Linked DNA regions of Astyanax mexicanus. The protein of the gene in region 1 binds, or shares a complex with, the protein of each later gene. Links are inferred from orthologs where the notes say so. Each region holds a gene or a part of one and is shown on either strand. Other genes may lie near its edges.

What was found. Proteins that work in one complex are often made in the same cells at the same time.
Region 2: taf1b (region 1) and rrn3 share a complex: the UniProt entries of both Homo sapiens proteins name them as parts of the pol I pre-initiation complex. The link is inferred for Astyanax mexicanus from reciprocal best matches to the Homo sapiens genes TAF1B and RRN3.
Region 3: taf1b (region 1) and taf1a share a complex: the UniProt entries of both Homo sapiens proteins name them as parts of the transcription factor SL1/TIF-IB complex. The link is inferred for Astyanax mexicanus from reciprocal best matches to the Homo sapiens genes TAF1B and TAF1A.

What each region holds. Positions count from the first base shown.
Region 1 is NC_064408.1:76,081,637-76,089,059, reverse strand, and holds the start of taf1b (TATA box-binding protein-associated factor RNA polymerase I subunit B), read right to left. Parts: upstream 3,025-7,423; 5' UTR 2,878-3,024; coding exon 2,860-2,877; intron 2,705-2,859; coding exon 2,606-2,704; intron 1,744-2,605; coding exon 1,653-1,743; intron 1,309-1,652; coding exon 1,211-1,308; intron 1,137-1,210; coding exon 1,044-1,136; intron 897-1,043; coding exon 818-896; intron 729-817; coding exon 554-728; intron 308-553; coding exon 208-307; intron 1-207. UniProt on the Homo sapiens protein: Component of RNA polymerase I core factor complex that acts as a GTF2B/TFIIB-like factor and plays a key role in multiple steps during transcription initiation such as pre-initiation complex (PIC) assembly and postpolymerase recruitment events in polymerase I (Pol I) transcription.
Region 2 is NC_064426.1:14,746,679-14,753,717, reverse strand, and holds the start of rrn3 (RNA polymerase I-specific transcription initiation factor RRN3), read left to right. Parts: upstream 1-4,028; 5' UTR 4,029-4,156; intron 4,157-4,257; exon of another isoform or gene 4,258-4,350; intron 4,351-4,992; 5' UTR 4,993-5,022; coding exon 5,023-5,115; intron 5,116-5,792; coding exon 5,793-5,849; intron 5,850-5,947; coding exon 5,948-6,037; intron 6,038-7,039. Other genes in the region: si:dkeyp-72e1.6 (transmembrane protein 238-like), read left to right, coding at 1-205. UniProt on the Homo sapiens protein: Required for efficient transcription initiation by RNA polymerase I (Pol I). Required for the formation of the competent pre-initiation complex (PIC).
Region 3 is NC_064408.1:54,374,745-54,382,597, forward strand, and holds the start of taf1a (TATA box-binding protein-associated factor RNA polymerase I subunit A), read left to right. Parts: upstream 1-4,842; 5' UTR 4,843-5,026; coding exon 5,027-5,159; intron 5,160-6,368; coding exon 6,369-6,532; intron 6,533-7,717; coding exon 7,718-7,831; intron 7,832-7,853. Other genes in the region: mia3 (transport and Golgi organization protein 1 homolog), read right to left, coding at 66-186. UniProt on the Homo sapiens protein: Component of the transcription factor SL1/TIF-IB complex, which is involved in the assembly of the PIC (pre-initiation complex) during RNA polymerase I-dependent transcription.

The sequences.
Region 1 (7,423 bases):
TTTACTTTTTACAGTAATGGAAAAAAACATGCATTTTGTTAAATATCATAGCACAACCGCTGTCTTTTTAAAGCAAAATAATTGTTCTCAGAAATCAGCATTCATAGACATGTTGTGCAGAAGTGTCTAAAATTGCATAAGACAGCATTTATATGCCAAATAAGACCTGCTAACACAGACTACTGCTATATCATTTTGTTTGCCCACCTCCACTCTAAAGATTATGGCATCCCTGCCATAAAACTGCATCTCTTCCGGGAACTCCTCATAGACGTTAATGTAAGGAATGAGCCTCCTGGACACTAACCTGCAACACAGAAATACTACACTTTAATGTCTTGTAGAGAAATGTGTAAAAGGAAATGTGTACAGTCTTTATTTTTATGTTAAATAAAATTATTTAATAACAAAAAAAAACACAATAAAGAAAAAAAAATACCCAGAACAACCTGTGCAATTAAATCCTGAATATCATATTTATGTATCTATATATAAGAGTAAAACTACATTCGTGACAAAAAAAATGACAACACAAAACACTCTTTTCATTCACCTGAGCAAATCTGCCAGTGTGATGGCCTCCCGAAGCCAAAGCAGGGCCAGATGGCACAGCGCCAGCGTCCGGGGCATGTTCATGAGTTGGCGACTCCTCCTCTCCTTTGCACTGAGGTAGCATGCGGCATCCAGAGAGCCTGAACACACTGAAGATCTCCCATCAGTGGAATGTCCTGTAAAAGACACACATGTATTTAACCTACCAACACAACACAACCCAGAAAACTGAAAAGACAAGAGTAAATGTAAGTAAAAACCATACCTGAGGCTGACATAGGCTCTGTCTGATCTGATGCTTCACTTAGAAATGCAGACTCCGGCTCACTCTCAGAGGATAGGTACTGCAGAGTTGGTTTAAGAAACATAGCAAAAATGAGTACCATGTAAAAGTATAGTGTGTAATTCACTCACATAAAAGAGCAATAATTTTCACAGCAAATTGGAACCCCTGACAAGCCCAGGCAATAGAACGACCGCTCCACACTCACCACTGTATTTGTAAAACTGTTCACTGGTGATCTTGTGTAAGCCTGCCTGGTTATCTGAAGGTATCGCTTCCAGAAATCCCAGAGCACATCTGTCTGTAAAATATAATTTATTTAAATAAATAAAAGCTCATCTTGGTACCTGCACATATTTGCAGAGCTTTACTGACCTTAAACTGTGGGCACACACCCAGACCAACCAAAGCTTCTGCCTGAAGTTTTAGGATGAACTGAAATCCTTCACATACCATCCACTCTCGTCCACCTTCTGATGGGTCAGGCAAAAAGAAGATAAACAACAGTTTTGTTACAACACACCACATATTCTTGCATAAATGCTTAGGGATCCTTGACCAAAAGACAACTTTTTTGTATAGAATACCAGTTATTTTTCTATTTCTACAAAAATCAGCTAATCCTAATGCCAAGGGACTTCTTTGTCTTTTCATATGTGGCTGTTCCAGATTAGTTATATTTCACTGTTGTGCTCAGATAAATGCCTGGGTTTTACTGGATTCAACAATTATATGAGGTTTCTGAAAAAATGGACATGCAGTGTATATCATATCTTTTCAGAGCATACTGTATGAGCAGATTACAGCTGTGACTTACCTCTTCTCGTTTTCTTGCGTGAGCTTGATGATATGGAGGATATTTTATTGTTTAGAATAAATGAGGATACATCCACAACATCTTGTGTTTTCTGTAAACAACCAAATGACAGGTCACAAATTAGATACAGTATTTGTAGGAAAAATATAATGTGAAGAAAATAAAGGATTGTGAAATTAGAACAACAAAATTGAAATCTTTCTCAGTTATAACAGGGTTGGATGATATGGGGTTGAATGATATGGTCAACAGTTTATATCACAATATATTTCTTGGTTTCAATTGATATGATACAATTAAAATATTGAACAATAGAAAAGCCATAAAACAACTGTCAATAACACCTACAATATCTGTTTGCACACACAAACTTCAATTGAATTGAATTTAACAAGTCATGTAATACATACATATACATCGTACACAATCATATATACAGCTCTGGAAAAAAAGAAACCACCTAAAAATGATGAGTTTCTTTTATTTTACCAAACTGAAAACCTCTGGAATATAATCAAGAGGAAGGTGGATGATCACAAGCCATTAAACCAAGCTGAACTGCTTGAAATTTTTGCACCAGGACTGACATAAAGTCATCCAAAAGCAATGTGTAAGACTGGTGGAGGATAACATGCCAAAATGCATGAAAAGTGTGATTAAAAACCAGGGTTATTTCACCAAATACTGATTTCTGAACTCTTTAAACTTCATGAATATGAACTTGTTTTCTTTGCATGATTTGAGGTCTGAATGCTCTGCATCTTTTTTATTTCAGCCATTTCTCATTTTCTGCAAATAAATGCTCTAACGTTAAATGACAATTTTTTTACTTGGAATTTGGGAGAAATGTCGTTGATTTTACTCATATATACCTATAAATAGCAAAATCAGAAAAACTGATTCAGAAACTTAAGTGGTCTTTCCTCATAACAGACTGAAGCTGTTGTGGTTACCTCGATCACATTGTGGCAGTTCCTGCAGAAGAACTGACACCCATCTGAGAGCGCCCAGGACACAGCTCCACACTGCTTACAGGGCTCACTGTAGCCCTCCTGAGAACACACACACACACACACACACACACACACACACACACACACACACACACACACACACACAGATCAAACAATACGGCATTAACACTGCAGCATATTAACTGTTTATCAATATCACAGCTAGTTTAATATTTTTCACAGTTTAAACTCACTGTTAGATGTTCGTCCATGTCTGAATGACTTCTGTGTTGTTTCAGGGAGGAGACATATCCATTCAACTGAGTTTAGACAGCTTCACTCACTGTATCTCCCACAGTTTTAAATTTACCACAACACGCTTTACTACACGCTCAGTTTTCCAAAATGGCTTTCAGGATCTATTTTTCAACATAAAAGTCTCAGTGTCACAAGAATCTCATCTGGGTTTGTTACACCACTAGAGGGCGCTTTTGAGTGAATCCAAAATGAATGGGTTCATATGAAGCGTTTGAGCAAAATCAGAGTTTATAAATGTTTCATATTGAAAGTTTTTAAACTCTATATGAGTACTAGAGACTCAGACTCGAGTAAAAACTGTGCTCAAAGTAAAGTTCTGAAAGTAAACGTACAGTACTGTAGTTATTACAGAAAGCGGTGAAAAGTGGAAAGCAGCGTGAAAGACAGAGCGGGTGCAGTGTGGTCTTCTTATAAGATCAGGATAATCATTTGATTCAGTGATGAGCAGCTTCATCAAACCCATTGCCAGTGCAGAGCATCTACCACTCTGGCCTTAGTGATAATGTGGGTTTGAGATGATTCCTAACATTTTCATAATTGTAACAAGTAACGATGCAGCACATAAACAATATAATAGTTCTACTTCACTACTGTAGTTACATCTCTGATCTCTAGGACCTGTTCACCAACCAGTCAGCCAGCAGTGATGCTAGATGATCTACTGTCTGAAACCCTTTAACTTACATAGTACTTCTTTTGTACTATGTAAGTGTGTTTTAGCTTAATTTTGTACTGTTTTATTTTAATAATCTCTTATCTTTTTTTTATCGTAATTTCTTATCAATTAAACCTCATGTTTTATTTTATCTAATAGTATCTATTTTATCACTGTTATCTTAACATTTATTTTCATTTATGGTTATGATAATGATTAAATGTAGTTATTATTGTCTTCGTTGTGTCAATCCCTATTTTTGTAAGTGTTTGACTACATTGAAAATGAGTGTTGGCATTAATGTTCTTCTCTGAGTCAAAATAATGGTTGATTGATTGATTAACAAAGTACTTCAATTAACTTTCTGAAATTCTAGGGATCCCCTAAATACGTTGTTTTATACTATTTTTAATTTGTGTTTTACCTGTTTAGCTTCATTTAACCCCATTCATTGAGGTCTCTCTGGCGGGCTCCCTCTAGCGGTGAGCAGTGGTTATCTGGTGGAGATCAGTGGAGGTATGAAGCAGTGGGCGGTCCCTCTACATAAACCTGCTCCCTGGTCAGACACTAGAGGGCGCTCCCGCTTGTATCAAAATAATGGATTTCTAAGGGCCTTTTAATAAAGATCTGTAAATAAATGATTTTGCATTTATACAGACAGCTGCATACGTTCTCTCATCACAAAAAACAGTATTAAAAAATATCTACCTCATATTTATACCTGTTCAACATGAGCTGAACAGACTTGGCAGCACTAATACTAGTTCAGTCAGCCAGCGAGCATTTTACAGCCTAAACATCTTTACTGGAAGATACTGGTAAGTTTCCATCGACATTATTTTCCTGAATTAACAGTTCCTTTATCTTTTTAGCTGTATTTAAACCTGATTCAAGATCTGCATGTAAGTGATTTCCTTCATATATGAGTGGATTTTGTGAAAATGGGTTTTATTCTTTAAGCTCCCAATTAATTTACTAGAAAACTAGCTTGAAAACAGCTTTTACTGTTAACTACAAAACTGCCTAAACATTTTTTCCTTTTTTGTTTTCTTATTCTACTAGGAGGTTTTATTTTTTAAGTATCGGTTCTTCTTAGCGTTTCTTTGGCGTTCATCCTTGTTTGGTTTAGTTCAGTTGTTTGTTTGCCTACATCAGGGATGGGCAACTGGCGGCCCGGGGGCCGCACACGGCCCTCGTCATCACTCAGTGCGGCCCGCGAATAGATCAAAAATAATTTAATAATTTCATAATAAAAATAAAAAAAAAACAACAAAAAAAACGTAATTCTACTTTTGACCAAACAACCACGAAAATTGACATTGACATCCAGTCCATTGTGAGCCAGCAGGCCAAACCACAGCTCTCTCATTAGCTTCAATAAATGTTGGGCCTCTGTGGTCTAGTTTTCTGCTATTATTGAATGAGCTATTTGCAATCAGTTTTTAAATCTTTTTTGTTCTTTGTTATAAATGAGTTCAAATGCCTTTTGCACTTTTATAAGCAAATGTTTTGTCCTTGTTGCTTATGAAGGACTTGTTATAATGAACTTATTTTACACAGAGGAACTACTGTATTTGCAATCAGTTTTTTAAGCAAACTTTTTGTTCTTTGATATGAAGGACTTCCTTTTTGCACTTTTTTTAAGCAAACGGTTTGTCTTTTGCCGTATTAAAATGCATTAATATGCAGAAAATAGTTGTTGATAAATGTTGGTGCTGTAAACATACAGATATAAATTCATATAAAATTTGTTCTTATTGAAAATCATTTGTAGCGTTTTTCATATTCAATTATTTGAAGTGCGAGGTCATGTGGCCCTCCAATGGTCATGCTGAAAAAAATGTGGCCCTCTCCATCATGGAAGTTGCCCATCCCTGGCCTACATGGTTTTAGGTTGTTTCTCATTTTGAGTCTTGGTTATTCTTAGTATTTCTACCATATGTCTTTGGGGCTTTGCTCCTTTTGAGTCTTGGTTATTCTTAGTATTTCTACCATATGTCTTTGGGGCTTTGCTCCTTTTGAGTCTTGGTTATTCTTAGTATTTCTACCATATGTCTTTGGGGCTTTGCTCATTTTGAGTCTTGGTTATTCTTAGAATTTCTACCATATGTCTTTGGGGCTTTGCTCATTTTGAGTCTTGGTTATTCTTAGTATTTCTACCATATGTCTTTGGGGCTCTGCTCCTTTTGAGTCTTGGTTATTCTTAGTATTTCTACCATATGTCTTTGGGGCTCTGCTCCTTTTGAGTCTTGGTTATTCTTAGTATTTCTACCATATGTCTTTGGGGCTCTGCTCCTTTTGAGTCTTGGTTATTCTTAGTATTTCTACCATATGTCTTTGGGGCTCTGCTCCTTTTGAGTCTTGGTTAGTCTTAGTATTTCTACCATATGTATTTGTGGCTTTGCTCCTTTTGAGTCTTGGTTATTCTTAGTATTTCTACCATATGTCTTTGGGGCTCTGCTCCTTTTGAGTCTTGGTCAGTGTTTTGTTCAAATGTTTTTAGGGTGTCTCTTTTAGCATTTCTTCCACATTCCTGGTGTTTTAATTGTTGGTTGTTCTTTAGAGACTTGGTTCAGCTCAGTGTTTCTTTGTGCTTGTCACAGTTTAGCCCATGTCTGTGTTATGTTTCTCCCTCGTTTGTTCCCTAGTGCTCCTGCCCCTCTGTTTACCTGTCATGTGTTCCCTGCCATGTGCTTGTGTTGTGTTTTGTGTACCTGTTTCCGCCCTAGCCCCGCCCTAGTCCCGTCCTAACCATTAGTGTTCTCACCTGTGTCCTGTTTGTAACCCCGCCCCCTCGTCATCCAAGCCCAGGTGTTTCTCACTCCCCTCCTGTATTTAAGCCCCTCTGTTTGAATGTTCAGTGTCGAGTCTTTTGTATTTTGTCTTTTGTATTTTGTATCCTGTATTTTGTATCCTATATCCTTAGTCTGTATGTATCCTTGCTGCCCGTATGTTTCCTAGTCCTAGTTAGTGTGATTGCAGTATGCAATCACAGTATTGTTCTTCTTAAGTCTTATTCTTATTATTAGTGTGATTGCAGTAATGCAATCACAGTACTGATCTTCTTAAGTCTTATTCTTCTTCTTCTTCTTCTTCTTCTTCTTCTTCTTATTATTATTATTCCACCTGTTTTTTGTCCGGTTAACTAGTGCCGCAGTTTTCGAAATATCGACTTCGTTCAAAAGAGAAAACGTGCGTCCTTATCGGGAATGGTGGGCTTGTATACAGCTTTCCGATCGGACTTACGTTTTTCGTAAAAACTTCGTAAGTACGCGTTTTTTTGACCATTGAAAATGAATGGGCAGAACTTTGCACGCCCGTGGACGTCGCAATTTTTGAAATACGAAGATGAAACCAATTGAGGACCTGTAGAACTTATTGAGCTCTTTCCGAAAATATGCGTTACGAAAAGTTACGTCGTACGGATTTCGTACGATTGTCGTACGAAGTGGCCCCATTGGAATGAATGGGGCCAATCGGAGGACGGCAGCTAGATCGAAGGACAGGTAGCTAGAACTCCAGTACTCTGTGTAATGGAGCAGCTATGGGATAAAACAGCATTAGGTCAAAAGTTTGGACACCCCGGCCCCCCAGTACTGTGTGTAATGGAGCCACGGGTCAAAAGTTTGGACACCCTGGCCCCCCAGTACTGTGTGTAATGGAGCCACGGGTCAAAAGTTTGGACACCCCCGAACGGCCAGAGCAACCTAGCGTGCATAGCTGATTGATGTATTTGCACGTTGCGTAGCAACGTGCAAACACCATTTAATCAAATATATGCATATACATCACCTAGCAACCACTTAGAAACACCATAGCAACCACCCTGGATACCATAGCAACAC
Region 2 (7,039 bases), on another chromosome or scaffold:
GCTGAGGAGGTTCTCCAGCCGCCTGTCCAGCGGGATCAGGGCGTCTCTGAGGAGGAACCAGCCCAACAACAACAACGCTGCTGGAAGAAGATCTGGAGCTGCGAAGAGAGGAGGCCCGGTGACTCTGGCCATGAACGCTGAGGATCTGAGCACTGTGTGTGAATCTGTGACCACTGTGGAAACTTCTCACACTTCAGCCATATGAACAGTGTCTTCACATGACCTTTCTTCAGTGATGGACATCACGTGGGATCATTTAAATAATGATTCTGTAAATTAACTCGTTTTAAAATGTTATTTCAGTAAATGAAGGTGTACACTCAGTTAAGATGTGTAAACCTTTGTTTTGTTTATAGAAGAACATATGCTAACTTATTAATAGCATCAGTAGTGTTATTCAATATTAGTTATTTTTCTTTTTGCTGCCCGTTACGTTAAATTTCATTAAATGTCATTTTAAATTACAATGTTAAGAACTACTACTAGAAAAAAAATATTTAAGGATATTCATTTTGTTAATAAAAACTAAGATGCTACTTAAGTTAGCTTACTTACTGCTAAGCATCAGTAGGAGGTTAGTTTAATAATATCTACTTTACAGTACTGCACAGTTTTTCCCCACACAATACATTTACATGTTCCTAAATGCTGTTTTAACTAGTATATAAATTAAATAGTATATATTTAAATGAAGGCATACATTCATTTAAGCTTTGTATGCCTTTGTTTAGTCTTTTTAGCTAATTATGCTAACATATTACAATCAATATAGTGTTTCTTTGGCTAGCTAACACTGCAAATTTTTTTGGCACATATTATGTTTAAATATTACTAAAAGTAATTTGAATATTTATATAAAACATTCTTTTAATTGTTAAATTGTAGAAGTAGTACACAATGCTAAATAAGAAGAGCTATACATTTTGTTTTTTTATGGTAATAGTTGATGCTGTAAACTTGCCTTTATTGTTGTTTGTGCTGATTTGGCTACCAATTATTTAAAAAATCTTTACATATCAATTAAGTATAAAATTACAGAAATTACACTTAATATTGGCATCACAAGTGATTTATTGTCCCAACATTGCTGTAGTATGACCTGCATTTTGTTACCTGTATTGTTTAACAGTCTTGCACAGGCTGAACCAACATTTCTTTATGTGTTTTTGACTCTTTGTTGTTAATTTTCCCTCAAAAATGGGCATTTCAGTTTGAGGAAGTACAGTCTTCAGAGAAATGAGAGCACATTAGCCTTCTTATCAGTCTGTTAACCATTAACCCCATTTTACTGAGGACCTGCCCAGTGCAAAAACCACACACTTAAAATGCGGGATGGAAAAATGATGTGTAACACCTGCTAGCAGTAGTGGAAGTTTCTGAACACACAGGACTGTCAGGTTAATAACGAAATAATTATCATGTAATTGAGAACTGTACAGAGAGACCATATTTACCGTTCTTTTTTTTTCTTTTTTTTTTGTATGCAGTTTGTTTTACAGTGTTTTTATACCTGTTTTTAATCAGCATTGCTGAGAAGATTCATTGCAGAAGACTAAATGATGAATATAATTATTTTGTTGTTATGTTTGTATTTGTTTACACTATGTTGATCAAATTTAATTTAGAATTGCTCAGGGTTTGACTGATTTTCAAAATATAGTGTATTACAGGTTATTAATGAGCTGTTTCAAATTCTAATTAGTAATCTGTTAGACAACAATTTTCAATGTAAAGCAATCGTATTAAATTTTGTTTTTGTAATTTGCAATGTTTTTTATGTTCTATTTAGAATTTACGTTAACCATCATTTACATTTGTGTCATTTTACTGATCGTTATGTTTTGTTTCTGAGACCCTGCCTTGTGAAATAATTAATAAATGAAGCAGTATTTTTTTATCTGGTGTTTCATACTGATTTTAATGGGGAAACCTTCACTGATATCCTTTTCTATGCTAAATTACACTCATAACCTTTGACCAATGAGGATCGTTGAATTGTAGATACTTCCTCTTATCTTCTGTTTGCTCTTATAAAATAGGAACGGCTGGCAGAGATGGTCAGAATTAATTGGTGGCAGTTTAAGTTGTCTACTCATATATTGTATGTATAGTTTAGTATACTGTTGTGTTATGGTTCAAGATTTTTGTATTTTATGTGCAGTTCAGATTCCTGCTGCTGCCCAGAGTTAAACACAAACAAGTAAACAATCAACTGTGATAGAAATATCTCAAATATACAGAAGGGAAAATAACTATTTGATTTTGTAAGTTTATTCCCTTACAAGGGCAGGAACAGTCTGTATTTTTAAGGTAGATTTATTTTGACAGCGACAGTCAGAATATAAAAAAAATCCATTGAATTAAGGTTATAAATTAATTTGTATTTTTACCAATTTGTATTATTACTAATTAAGCTATGCTAGCACTAGTAATGCCCCAACACCAGGAGGGTGAAGACTAGCACATGTCTCCTCCGTTAGCTGCTGTGGAGTAGCTAGTGCACTCAGCGGAAAGTACAGAGACTTGGCTCTGATACATCAACCCACAGATACCTCGTGCTGACCAGGACCAGGATTTGAACCAGCATTCTCCTGATCATAGTGTCTGCTGGACCACTCAGAGTCCCAGTGTTAATTTGTATTTGATTATGTGAAATAATAGAACATGACTTTGCAGAAAATTTCCAAATCCTAAAGGTTTAAGGGTGTCAGCAACTTTCCACATATTTTTTATGGGATTAAGGTTTGGGGACTGGCTAGGCCACTCCAGTACAATACAGTACAGTACAGTGTCTGTCCCCGTTAAAAGTAAACGTACCATAAAATTATAGCCATATAGACATATGTTCATGTCTTTTTAAACTTGAGTAAACTTGCTTAATCAGCAGGGGATTAAAAAATATTCACCCAAAAATATAAGTTGTTTGACCAAAAAAGGTTGGTTTATGATGTTGGTTGTTGAAGTAGGTCATCCAGAAAAAAATAATCCTACAACTATTCTAGCTAACTAAAATCAATCTGGTTGACCACCATAATCATGATTAACTTGCTTACCAGCATGACAGACTGACTTAGGTAGCCGACCAGTAAGCCAGTTTAGTCCATTAGACAAAATGAAATAGAATCCATGTCTGAAATGTCTGAAACTCTAAAAGCTCCTTCATAAAAATGTATTACAGCAAATGGTTATGAATACACTGTTTGATTGGTGGGTTTGGATAGTAAATAAAATATCAAAAGTATCAAGAAATTAGAGTTTGTAAGTTTTTTTCAAAAACAAACCAAAGATTTCAAAATAAACATATTCTAAATGTGTTAGTTTGACCCCTGAATGATGCTCAGAATTTTCTAAATTGTGTAGACTACATGTATTGTGTAAGCAATACATGTATTGTGTGTTAAACATGTTAAAATAAGTTTGCAAAATTAATTCAGTGAAAATCTGTGAATACTATAGAGATATTTTCATCAACAGCTGAAATTCATGTATTTTCAGAGAATTAACTACCTTGTGAACTACCTGAAGGTACTGAACTTTTAAAAATTTATTAATATGAACTTTTTTTCTTGCATTATTTGAGGTCTGAAAGCTCTACATCTTTTTTGTTATTTCGGACATTTCTCATTTTCTGCCAATAAATGCTCTAAATGACAATATTTTTATTTGGAATTTGGAAGAAATGTTGTCCGTAGTTTATAGAATAAAACAACAATGTTTATTTTACTCAAACATATACCTATAAATATCAAAATCAGAGAAACTGATTCAGAAACTAAAGTGTCTCTTATTTTTTTCCAGAGCTGAATGTTCAGCGCTATGCAGTATTGGAAACCTGTCAGGAGCATCGGCTAAAAGCTCTGTATTTCAGAGTGCTGGGGGTGAATGGAGGTGGTCTATTCGACACAAGTTTTACTCGTTATCGTGTTTTACTACAACCAGTCCATTTTCACTTCGGATTTCTCGTCTAATAAACCTCTTAGACCGCTGAGACCGGTGTTTTTACTCCAGGCCGGCGGGGGCGCTGTGAGAGCTGGCGGCTCTCCGCGGTTCTTGTTGTGAGAAGTCCAGCATGGTGCATGTGGCTCTCCAGTAGCAGCTGTAGGATTTTCTAAATATTGTGATTAAAGCAGTTTATCAGCGCGCGTATGGTAATGAGGTAGGTAATTTATATGTGTTTAATTGTTACAGTAACTGAAGAGTCGCGCTGTGGTGAAGCGACCCTTTATTAAACCTGTCCGCTTTACTGTGGACTAGTCCGGGCATGTTTATCAGAGGAACGCGGGGATTTAACACACTAACACACACTCATATCCGCGGGGAACAGGAGGGCTGGACATGTGCAGGGAAAATGTAAATATTCTAATGTCAAAAAATATCTTATTTAATAAGATATTTGCTATCTGCTTTTTTTATTTTCCTGTTCTACTTTAAATGCCTTAGGTACCAGAATGTAGTTAACTAGCTGCTGTACTGTTTAAGGTGAAACGGCAATTCCAAAAAGAAATCTGAATTAATACCTTAAAAAAATTAAAAGTATATATTGTGTTTGTTTTATTAATACTTTACAAAACACTACATGTGCTTCATATTTTTTTATATCTTTTTAATACTCTTGAATCACCTTAAAGTTATAACTACATTTGCAGAATCCTCTTAACACCAAAGCTATATCACCTGTATCAAGCATGTTTTAGTTAACATATAAGATACTAGACCTATAATAGTTAACTCTAAATTGAATGTTATAAAATGTATAATTATATATATATATATATATATATATATATATATATATATATATATATATATATATATATATTGTTTATAATTATAGTTTTTTTTATTATTATTAACTAAACAATTCCTGCAATTGTCAACATAGTTTTTTACTATATTTAACAGCTACATAAGCACTGGCTGCAATTTTTTTTTCATTAATATAATAAGGTTTATACTGATCAACAGTTTGCTGTGTTGCGATTTGTTTTCCAGATCTGATTGGTTATTCTTTAGAGGTTTAACATGGAAGTGGAAAGAGATTTTATGAACAGTCCTCCAATGAAAACAGTGCGATTTGGAAGCAGTGTAATCAACACGTTAGCCAAGGTGAAACAGGTAAGTTTTAATTCTGAATTAAATAGTTAAACAGTACTAGTCAAAACTTTGGACACACCTTTAATTTAGTTGTTTTTTACTTTAAAATGGTCTGCGTTGTAGATTAAGGTTAAAGTAATCAAAAATATGAAGAAAGGCATATAGAGTTTTTTAGAAAACTAAATAAGTGTTAAACAAATCAGAATATGTTTTATATTTTAGTTCTGTAAAGTAGCCCCTCTTGATTAGATGCCTGATTTGCACATCTTGGCTGGATTTTCTCTGTCAGCTTTATGAGGTATGTGAGCGTTCAGCTAACAGCGGTCCTAAACTTGTCAACAACACAGTGAAGAGCTCTATTTGAGTAAAGAAAACATACTTAATAAAATGAAGGTGTCAAACTGTAAAAAATGATTTTTTGATTGTTTTACACTTTTAAGTTCACTACACTATTCCTTTATTTACTATATCCTTCATTAATAGTGTTGAGGACTTCAATATTAATTTGCAATGTTAGAAAATAAATAATGGACATTGAATAAGAAAATGTTTCCAATAAGTTACCCTGAAAGGAGAGGGGACAGATGACTGAATCAGTTCATATTTGCTACAAAACATATACAAATACAGCAGAACAGCAAGGCTTTTTACAATTGGTATGTATTTAACGTCTCTCTTTTTTTTTTTTTTTTTTTAAGGGAGATACAGGTGATTATGAGCTGATAAAGCATCAACTTGCGGACCCGGACATCAAGGTACGAGTGTTTCTAAAGAAGTTCAATAAAAAATGAGTAAGGAATGCACAGGTGAATATGATTCACTGAGCCACAGCCCATCTCTCCTCCTGTTTCAGGATGCTCAGATTGTTAACTGGCTGCAGGAGTTCAGGAGCTGCGTCACTATGCTGGGAAAAGAACACGAGCAGCTGATCTATTCTGTCCTGGTAAGAACTACCATCATCACTATTTAGCTGTTTCAGAGTTAATCTATTTAATTCATTAGTTAATTCACTCACATTGTCAGTCAGTTGTTCACTTATTCATTTGCTCACTTGTTAAGTTTTCACTTTTGTATTTGTTTGATTACTCACTCACTCGCTTGTTTGTTAATTGTTTGGCTCACTCAGTTGGTCATTTGTTTCTTCATGTCCTCAATCTGTTACCCACATAGTCATGTATTCAATTTACTAATTTAATTACACACTCACTGATTGGTTCATTTCTTTACTTAATCTGTTGCTCACTCACCAAGACATTTAGATGCCTACTCATTAGTTTGCTCGCTTGTTAACTCTCTGAAATGTTCACACGTTGGCTCACCTGTCTGATCACTCTTTTGTTTTACTTGCTCTTGTCACAGTTGTTGACCTTCTAATAGGTCCTTCACAGAATAAGATGCCATAACAAGGTGACAGCTAGGGCTGGGGCGGTATTGATTTTTTATAACCGCGGTAAAAAACTAACGCATCACCGCGATATTGCGGTTAACCGCGAGACCCCAAACCAACCCCCCCCCCCCCACCCACCGCCCCCAAAAAAAAAAACACCACAAATTTATTGGTAACAAATCTTTATTCTTCAAACCATACAGCCTACATACAACCTCTACATAAACCATAAATACAGCATAACAAGTGAACATATGCTGCCTGTATAATTCGTCATTGTACAGCTAACCTGTCTTTTTCCGAGCAGACTTTTTGAAGGAGGAGCTTGTCCGCCTACCCCTTCTCCATCCATAGATCTATTTTAGGGCTGGCCCGAATAGCGGTTTTGAGCTCAGGATATTCGGCAGTAATTGGTAGCGAATATTCTAATATTCGTTTAAAAAAAAGACGAATTAATCCACAGCAAAATTTTCCACTGACCCCCGGCCCCGAAAAAAATATATTTCTCACCCCTTTCCTCGGGCCGTTCGGGCTCAAGGCTCAAGAAGTCTGTGATAG
Region 3 (7,853 bases), about 22 Mb from region 1:
TTCAGCTGAATACATAGTACATGCCCCAGTAGTACATAGTACACCAGACCCCTTTAATTACTTACTACTGCACTCGTCGTCCGCACATCTCTTAAAGTCGGAAAATCGCCGCTCCAGAGAGGCGTGTGTAAAACGCACACAGAAAAACAGTATAAAAGGGTAAAAACGCCACAGCAGCGCTGTCATGTTGGCTGGTTGGGATAGGGCAGCGGGCTGCCTGAGCGGGGGCACAGCGCTGAGCCGAGCCGAGCCGACACGTCAGCAGATCTGCAGCCGCTGCTGCGTCTGTACCGAGTCTGATGCTCCAGGCAAGCAGGAGAAAAAAGACTGGAGTCATGTTACACAGGATCCGGGAACACTTAAAGACACAGACTCACAGGAACTTCCCCACACTCTGTAGAAGAAAACCAAACAACAAAGAACATTGAATAAGCATAATTGTATGGTTGTATTACATTTTGTATGTTGATGATGGAAAAACGACATTTAAACAACATTAACACGACATTATTGGCTAGCATTAAAATTCTGACATTAACCTTTTAACATGCCTTGTCTCGTATACAGGCTACAGGTGTAGGTGATACAAAACTATTTCTTTCTGCAGTAAAAAAAAAAAAGATTATTCACACTCTGACAACTTTGAGGGCTTTGAAGACTCTTACAGGTTTCTTGAAGAAGCTGCCTGACCACTCTCTTCTCCACTTAATAATATCAGATCAGTAACAGGAATCAAACAAATTACTGCAGGTTTGAAAATAGACATAAAAACTAGACAACAGTAACAAAACGAAAGGTTTGGAGGACAATACAAGTTTCATTTGTATTCAGGAAAATACTGATTTTAAAGTGAAGTTTAGGAAAGTACCAATGTTATGATTATTATTCATTATATTTGTAAAGGGGCAGATTTATTTATAAATTGTAAAATAATTTCTGTTACATTTACAATTATAATTTGTAGTCACTTTTATTACAATAAATGAAAGCTTTTTATATAATGCTTGATTTTTTTTTAAAGATTAAGGTGTGTAATATCAGGGTGAAAATGAACAAATATTCTAATCTGTTAAATCAACGTTCATTTAAAGGTTTTTATGTTTAAGGCTCTTCACCACTCACAATGATTTAGCCGAAACGTGCTCCCAATTAAATAATAATTATTGTTATCTGTTTTAGACTGGACTCAAGTCAAAAAAAGAACTTCTTCAAAGAGAAGCAAAGAAGAGACAGTGATCTGCAATGATCTGGGGATGCTTCAGCAAGGCTGGAATTGGGCAGTTTGGTCTTTGCGAATGACGCATGAATCAAGCTGCATACAAGGTTATCCTGGAAGAAAACTTCCTTCTATCTACTCTACCAATGTTCCCAACTCTGGGGAATGTTTTTCTTTTTCTATCAGGACAATGCTCAATTCCACACAGCTAGATCAATTAGGGTGTGGATGAAGAACCACCAGATCATGGTGTCATGGCCAGCACAATCTCCAGCCCTGAACCCCATTGAAAACCTATGGAATGTAATCAAGAGGTAGATGGTCACAAGCCATCAAGCTGAACTGCTTGAATTTTTTGCCAGGAGTCTCATAAGTGGCAAAGCAGTTTGAAAGACTGAAAGACTCTTTCTTAGTTACTTTTGTATTGTTGTTTCTAAATAAATATATTAACTTTTTTTGTTTGCATTATTTAAGTTTGAAAGCACTGCACCTATTTTGTTAATTTGACCTTTTCTTATTTTCTGCAAATGTATTATTTTTTATATTTTAAATATACAATGTTTTTATTTGGAATTTGGGAGAAATGTCATCAGTAGTTTCTAGAATAAAATCACAATGTTTATTTTACTCAAATATATACCTATAGATAACAAGGCTGAAGTTTGTTTGATATTCGCAGCTCCAGATTAGATAGTTGTTATGCAAGAAGCAACCCCAAAGTTAATTGAGAAAGTGATTTAGTTTTTTGTACATTGGTAAATAAAATGGAAAAAAAAAATCTGAGAGCTCAAACTGAACTGTATCCTGTCATCCAGATTTTATCTAGGCCCTGCTAACCCCAGGGTCTCATAACTGCCCACCCCACACACCATGTGGGGTGAACATGAGCAAAGGCCAGCACGGTAGTGGGGAGGGGGGATAATCGTGCTCCAGCATGGTTTAAACAAAGCGTGCCCAGTGTATGCCATAGACACTCCTACCTATTGCTGCTCCACACTGTAAATATAAAGTCAAAGAGACTCATCTGCTGCACAGTTTGTGTTGATCATTCTTTAGTTCTGTAGTTCAGTGGGTACCGGACACTTTCTAATGGAGGCTGGCCACAGGATATGTTTAAAAGTTGTCTGATTCAGTTGTACCAGCACAACACAAACTAATAACACACAACCACCATGCCAGTGTCACTGCAGAGCTGAGAATGATCCACCAATCAACCATCAATGCAGTAAAGAACATTGAGATCTCAGAGCTACATATGCTGCCTTTAGGACCACAACTTTTCCAGGCCGTTGCAAAAGAAGGTACTGGTACCGAACTGGCCTGCCTGCAGTCCTGATCTGTTCCTGGTAGATATCCCTGTACTGTTGCACATCTTTAGATGAAGAATGAGACAAAATAACACCCGAAACACTTAATCACTTGATATCCTCTGTGCCTAAATATCTTCATAAAGTCCTGTGATAAACAATGGTAAGATTACAAAGTGGGAAATGCTTTACTGTCCTTTTGGAATATTTTGCTGAAATGTGTTTCAGGGCTGTTACTCAAGAATTAATGAACAATAATAAATCAAATGAACAAAAAAACATAAAGATAAAAATGTAAGACATTTTTCTTATTTGGGGTTTTAAATGTGGTCACAATTACTCCCTATATAAGGTATAATGGATATTTTCATAATTCCTGAAAATTGAATATAAAATACTGCACAACCAGTTAATATAATCCAAGTTCTCACTGTTTTCAGGAAGTGTGAGAAATGGCACATTGTGTACATAGGCTTGGTGTGTATTTCTACAGGTTTACAGCTGCTTATCTATCTTCTCTAAAAGGAATTCATCTGAACCTGAAGTGTGATCTTATCTAAGCCATAAATAAAACTGATTAAAGAAATGCACAAAATTGCATAATTATAGTCATACATTGTTTTTTTTTCACTTATATTTTAATTAATTGGAGCTCACCAGCTTGTGTGAACAGTTATATTGTATAAACGATCCACAATCAATTTAATCCTTAGATGCATAGTAAGTCAAAAATTACCCAAACATCTTTCTTGCAATATCTTCAAAATGAGAAGTTCTCATTTCATATTTCAGATATTCCTTAAATAATATATTACTGGAATCATGCCACATTCATTTTAACTTACCTTTTATACATTTTACTAAAATCTACTAAGTCTTTTGTATTATCGCCCCAATGGTGGTCAAGAATTACCCGCATTAATATCCTGTAAAAATGCATGGGAACAATTGATTATCAGCTGTGACAGAAATAAATATTTTGTGGACCACATAGATGATATCAAAAATGTCACCCTTTAAGAATATTATTTTACCTTAATTTTTTTAACCCCCACCAAAATGATGTGTGTATGTCTAATTAAAATATATGTGTGTGTGTGTGTGTGTGTGTGTGTGTGATTCATGTCTGTGAAGGAGTGTTTCTTATCATAAAAATAGCTTATTTTTCAGTTTTTCAGCAAGTGTGCTTCTTGACAAATAAAACATGATCTCTTTCTGTTTCCCTTAGACTGTCTATGTGAGAAATCATTTACCATGTCAAGTAGTACAGGCCTTAGTGTCCAACATTGCTGTGATGAGTGAAGCCTCTATACAGCAGCAAATAGAAATCAAGATCTCTGGTGCTGCATGCTCGTGTCGTGTGCAATTAAAATGTTTAAATTCAAATGTTTCATTAGAATGTTTGCTAATTTTAAGCTAAATGAGTCAAATATTCCATTCTAATTTAGAATGTATTTAAAAAGTTGATCTGAAGTCATTCTGAAATAAATAAATAAAAAACTAGACATATGAAACTTGGCCATGTTATGTTATCTGTTCTCAGCCTGAATACCATTTGCTATTTTTTGAAAACACAACAGAACTTCTAGACTTTTCTCACATTCATTTACATAAGACAACCGGACATCAGGTGAACGAATGTGTACGGTTTGAGCCGCATCTACAGTATACAGCAATATATAGCAGTATACAGTTTTCAGTGATGATCACCTGCTATTAGAGAAGAGCACAGTGGCTACACTTTTACTCTTTCTTTAACAAGAATGACCAACATATAATGTCTGTGTGCCATTCTAGGTGAGCACAATGCAGGCCCCCTTGTGAAAAAGTGTTTGGCCCCCTAAACCTAATAACTTGGTTGTGCCACCCTTGGCAGCAACAACTGCAATCAAGCTTTACCGATAACTGGCAACCAGTCTTTCACATCTCTGCTCTGTGGAGGAATTTTGGTCCACTCCTCTTTACAGAAATGTTTTAATTCCACCATATTGGAGGATTTTTGAGCATAAACATCTTGTTTAAGATCATGACACAGCATCTCAATCGGACATTGACTAGACCACTCAAAAACCTTCATTTAGTTCATTAATTTTTCTTTAAATGACTTTATTCTACTTCCCAGAATTGATGTAACACCCTGGATTAGTTACTAATGAGTGTAGCTCCATTCACTGAGGACTCAGTCGCGGACTCCCTCTAGCGGAGTGCAGCAGTGCTCTGAGGAGGAGGCAGGAGGTGGGTAGACGCTCTGGTTCCTCTCCGACGGTAGATGGCGGTATGCGCTGAAACCATGCGGTGAACCTGCAGTTAGTCTGTAGAAAAACAAAGAGCACGTGAGTTTCATACGAGCGGGAGACGCGCTGTAGATAGAGAGAGAGGCCACACTCAGATAACTCCACAGCAGCAGAGCCCCTGTACGAGCTCTTACCACACAGCCCCTCTCACCAGAGAGAGAACTGAGAACACTGAACATACAGGACTGTCTATTGTGAGTCTGTCGGTTATGGATGATATCGAAGCAGAGCTCGGTATTTCTCGATCAGTAGGAAATGAAGACTTTTCAGACTCTTCAGAGGATGAAAGAGTTGCCAGGAAGATCAGACCGCCTATTCTACTGCACTCCTCCACCGCTCAGGGTAATGTATCTTAATAAAAATACACTAATCTCAGCTGCTGCACCACAATAAAAAACACTTCATATTCAGTTTTAACTGGTAAAAACTCAAATTACACATCAGATTTGACTAGAAAAAAACGCCCCTTGCAGTGATCAGCAATACAATATTTACCAGTAATAATATCAGATCTACAGCTCTATAAAATCATTCTCACTACTCATACTGTCAGGAACACATCCTGAGTGTAATTCTGACTAGTCATATGATATCCCTGATTTACACGGAATTTCACTTTTTTATCTACAGTTACATTTTACCAGTTAGATGCTCTTAAGTTAATTGAAATTGAATGAAATTGTAATTCCAGGTAGCCTATATACACTGTAATTCAACTCAGGTATTGACATCTACAGTTCAGGTTTCGATTAGTAATAATATTATTATTTCCTGGTAAGAATAACAGTGTAGATGTGTGGAACTAGTACTACATTATTTTACTAGAAAATTGTAGATCTTTGAAACTTTAATGTTTTAACTAGTTAAATATAATTATAGAGCAAAGAATGTGAGATTACTTGTTAGTCAGTGGTAACCTGACTAGTCAGAATTACATTATGGACGTGTTACTTATACTGTCTAAAAAAATGTAAGGGAACACTAAAATTCCAGTTGAAAATCTTTACAGATATAAATTGTATAATAAGTTGGGTGGGCAGAAAATCTAAGTAAAACATTGAAATATTAGGCTCATCCAATTTCTGTAAGTTTAATAACAGAAACTCAATGTTTTTTCAAATCCTTCATTAAAGTGCACACTGGTGACTGGGGCTGGGGAAGGAAATTTAATTCAATATTTTAGATTGGAAACGTGAATGCCTTTGGGAAAAATCCTATGCATACTTAGGTAGTATGTATTTAGCATATTTAGTTTGAACATTAGGTGAGCAATGTTTTATCCAGTGAGAGGAATCTGTCTTATATGTTCATTTTCCTGTAAATAAGGGAAAATTATTAAAAATATATTTTTATGTGCCCATTGGAAAATCCAAGTTTCCAACCAGTGAATATGAATTTGTGTATGCGTTTTTGAGATTTCCAACACAAAGGCAGCATTGAGCTTGTTAATGTATGTGCCTCAGGCTATGCTTGTAGGTGAAAGGGTACATACACTTGATTGCAGACATTACTTATTTGTATTTTCCACTTACAATAATTATTTCATTTTAGCAAGGGCTAAAGAAAGTGGTTTTCACGAATCTTCAAGACTATGTCTGAAGGCCATAAGAGACGCTATGCTGCACCATCATTGGCAAGAGGCAGCACAGTACTTGTCTGCTTACTCTCAGACACTGGAAGATACCACAGTCAACAAGCAGTCACTAGCCTGTGAGGTAAGCAATTCTCTTTGAGATTACTTGGATTTCTGCGTAAATTGGTAATTAAATGTCACAACAATAGACAAACACAGTCTGCTTAAACTAGTATCACATATGTTTGCATGGTTTTATTGAATAACTGGTTGACCCTCCTTTGGCAGCAAAAACATCAACCAAACATTTCCTGTAGTTGCAGAGCAGACCTTCACAACGGTCAGGAGGAATTTTGGATCATTTATCTTCACAAAACTGTTTCTGTTCAGCAATATTCTAGGGATTTCTGGTGTGAATCGCTCTCTTGAGGTCATGCTACAGCATCTCAACTGGGTTAAGGTCAGGATTCTCCAGAAGGATTTTTTTTTTCCGTTGAAGCCAACTAAAATGTTAGCATGTGCCAGAGATTTCTGTACGTCTTTAGCTGACACTCTAGTATTCTTCCTCACCTCATTGATCATTCTGCGCTGTGCTCTTGCAGTCATCTTTACAGGACGACCACGTCTAGCGAGAGTCGCAACAGTGCTGAACTTTCTCCATTTTTAGAGTGTCTGTTTTACCGTGGACACATGAACATCAAAGGCTTTTAGAGATACTTTTGTAACTCTTTCCAGCTACATGCAAGTCAACAATTCTTGAACGTGGGTCTCCTGAGAGCTCTTTTGTGCGAGGTATGATTCACAATCAATGCTTTTTAAGAACAGCAAACTCAAAACTGGTGTATGTTTTTTAGGGCAGGGCAGCTTTAACCAACACAATCACCAATCTCATCACATCCTGGTTCCAATTAGCTCTTAGAAAAGTCATTAGCCTAGAGGTTCACATAATTTGTTAACATGTTGTGTTTAATGAAATCAGGCAAACATATATCTTTTTTGTGGTATTAGTTTAAGCAGATTGTGTTTGTCTATTGTTGTGACTGATGAATATTAGAACACATTTAATGATCAATTTATGCAAAAATCCATGTAATCCCAAAGAGTTCACATACTTTTTCTTGCAAATTTATATCCCAATGTTTATAAAAGGCAATCTCATAACTGTGCAGTAATTAAGGATATTGTACTAGTGTTAACTGATGCTCTGTAAAATACAGGTACAAAGTGGGACTTTGTGCTGAAACAATGACATACCAACTGATGTTTTGAATTGTTTGTTTAAATGACACCATTGTTTACAGTTTCAAGTGTTTTCTTTAATCCTCAGATTATTTGGAGACTAGGCACAGAGATTCTTCAGCATCATCCAAACTCTCGATTGGAAGATTTTAATGCTTTGTATGAACAGATGAAAAACTCTGGAGTGAAAAATTATGCTAAGGTATTATTATTTAAACATCTAT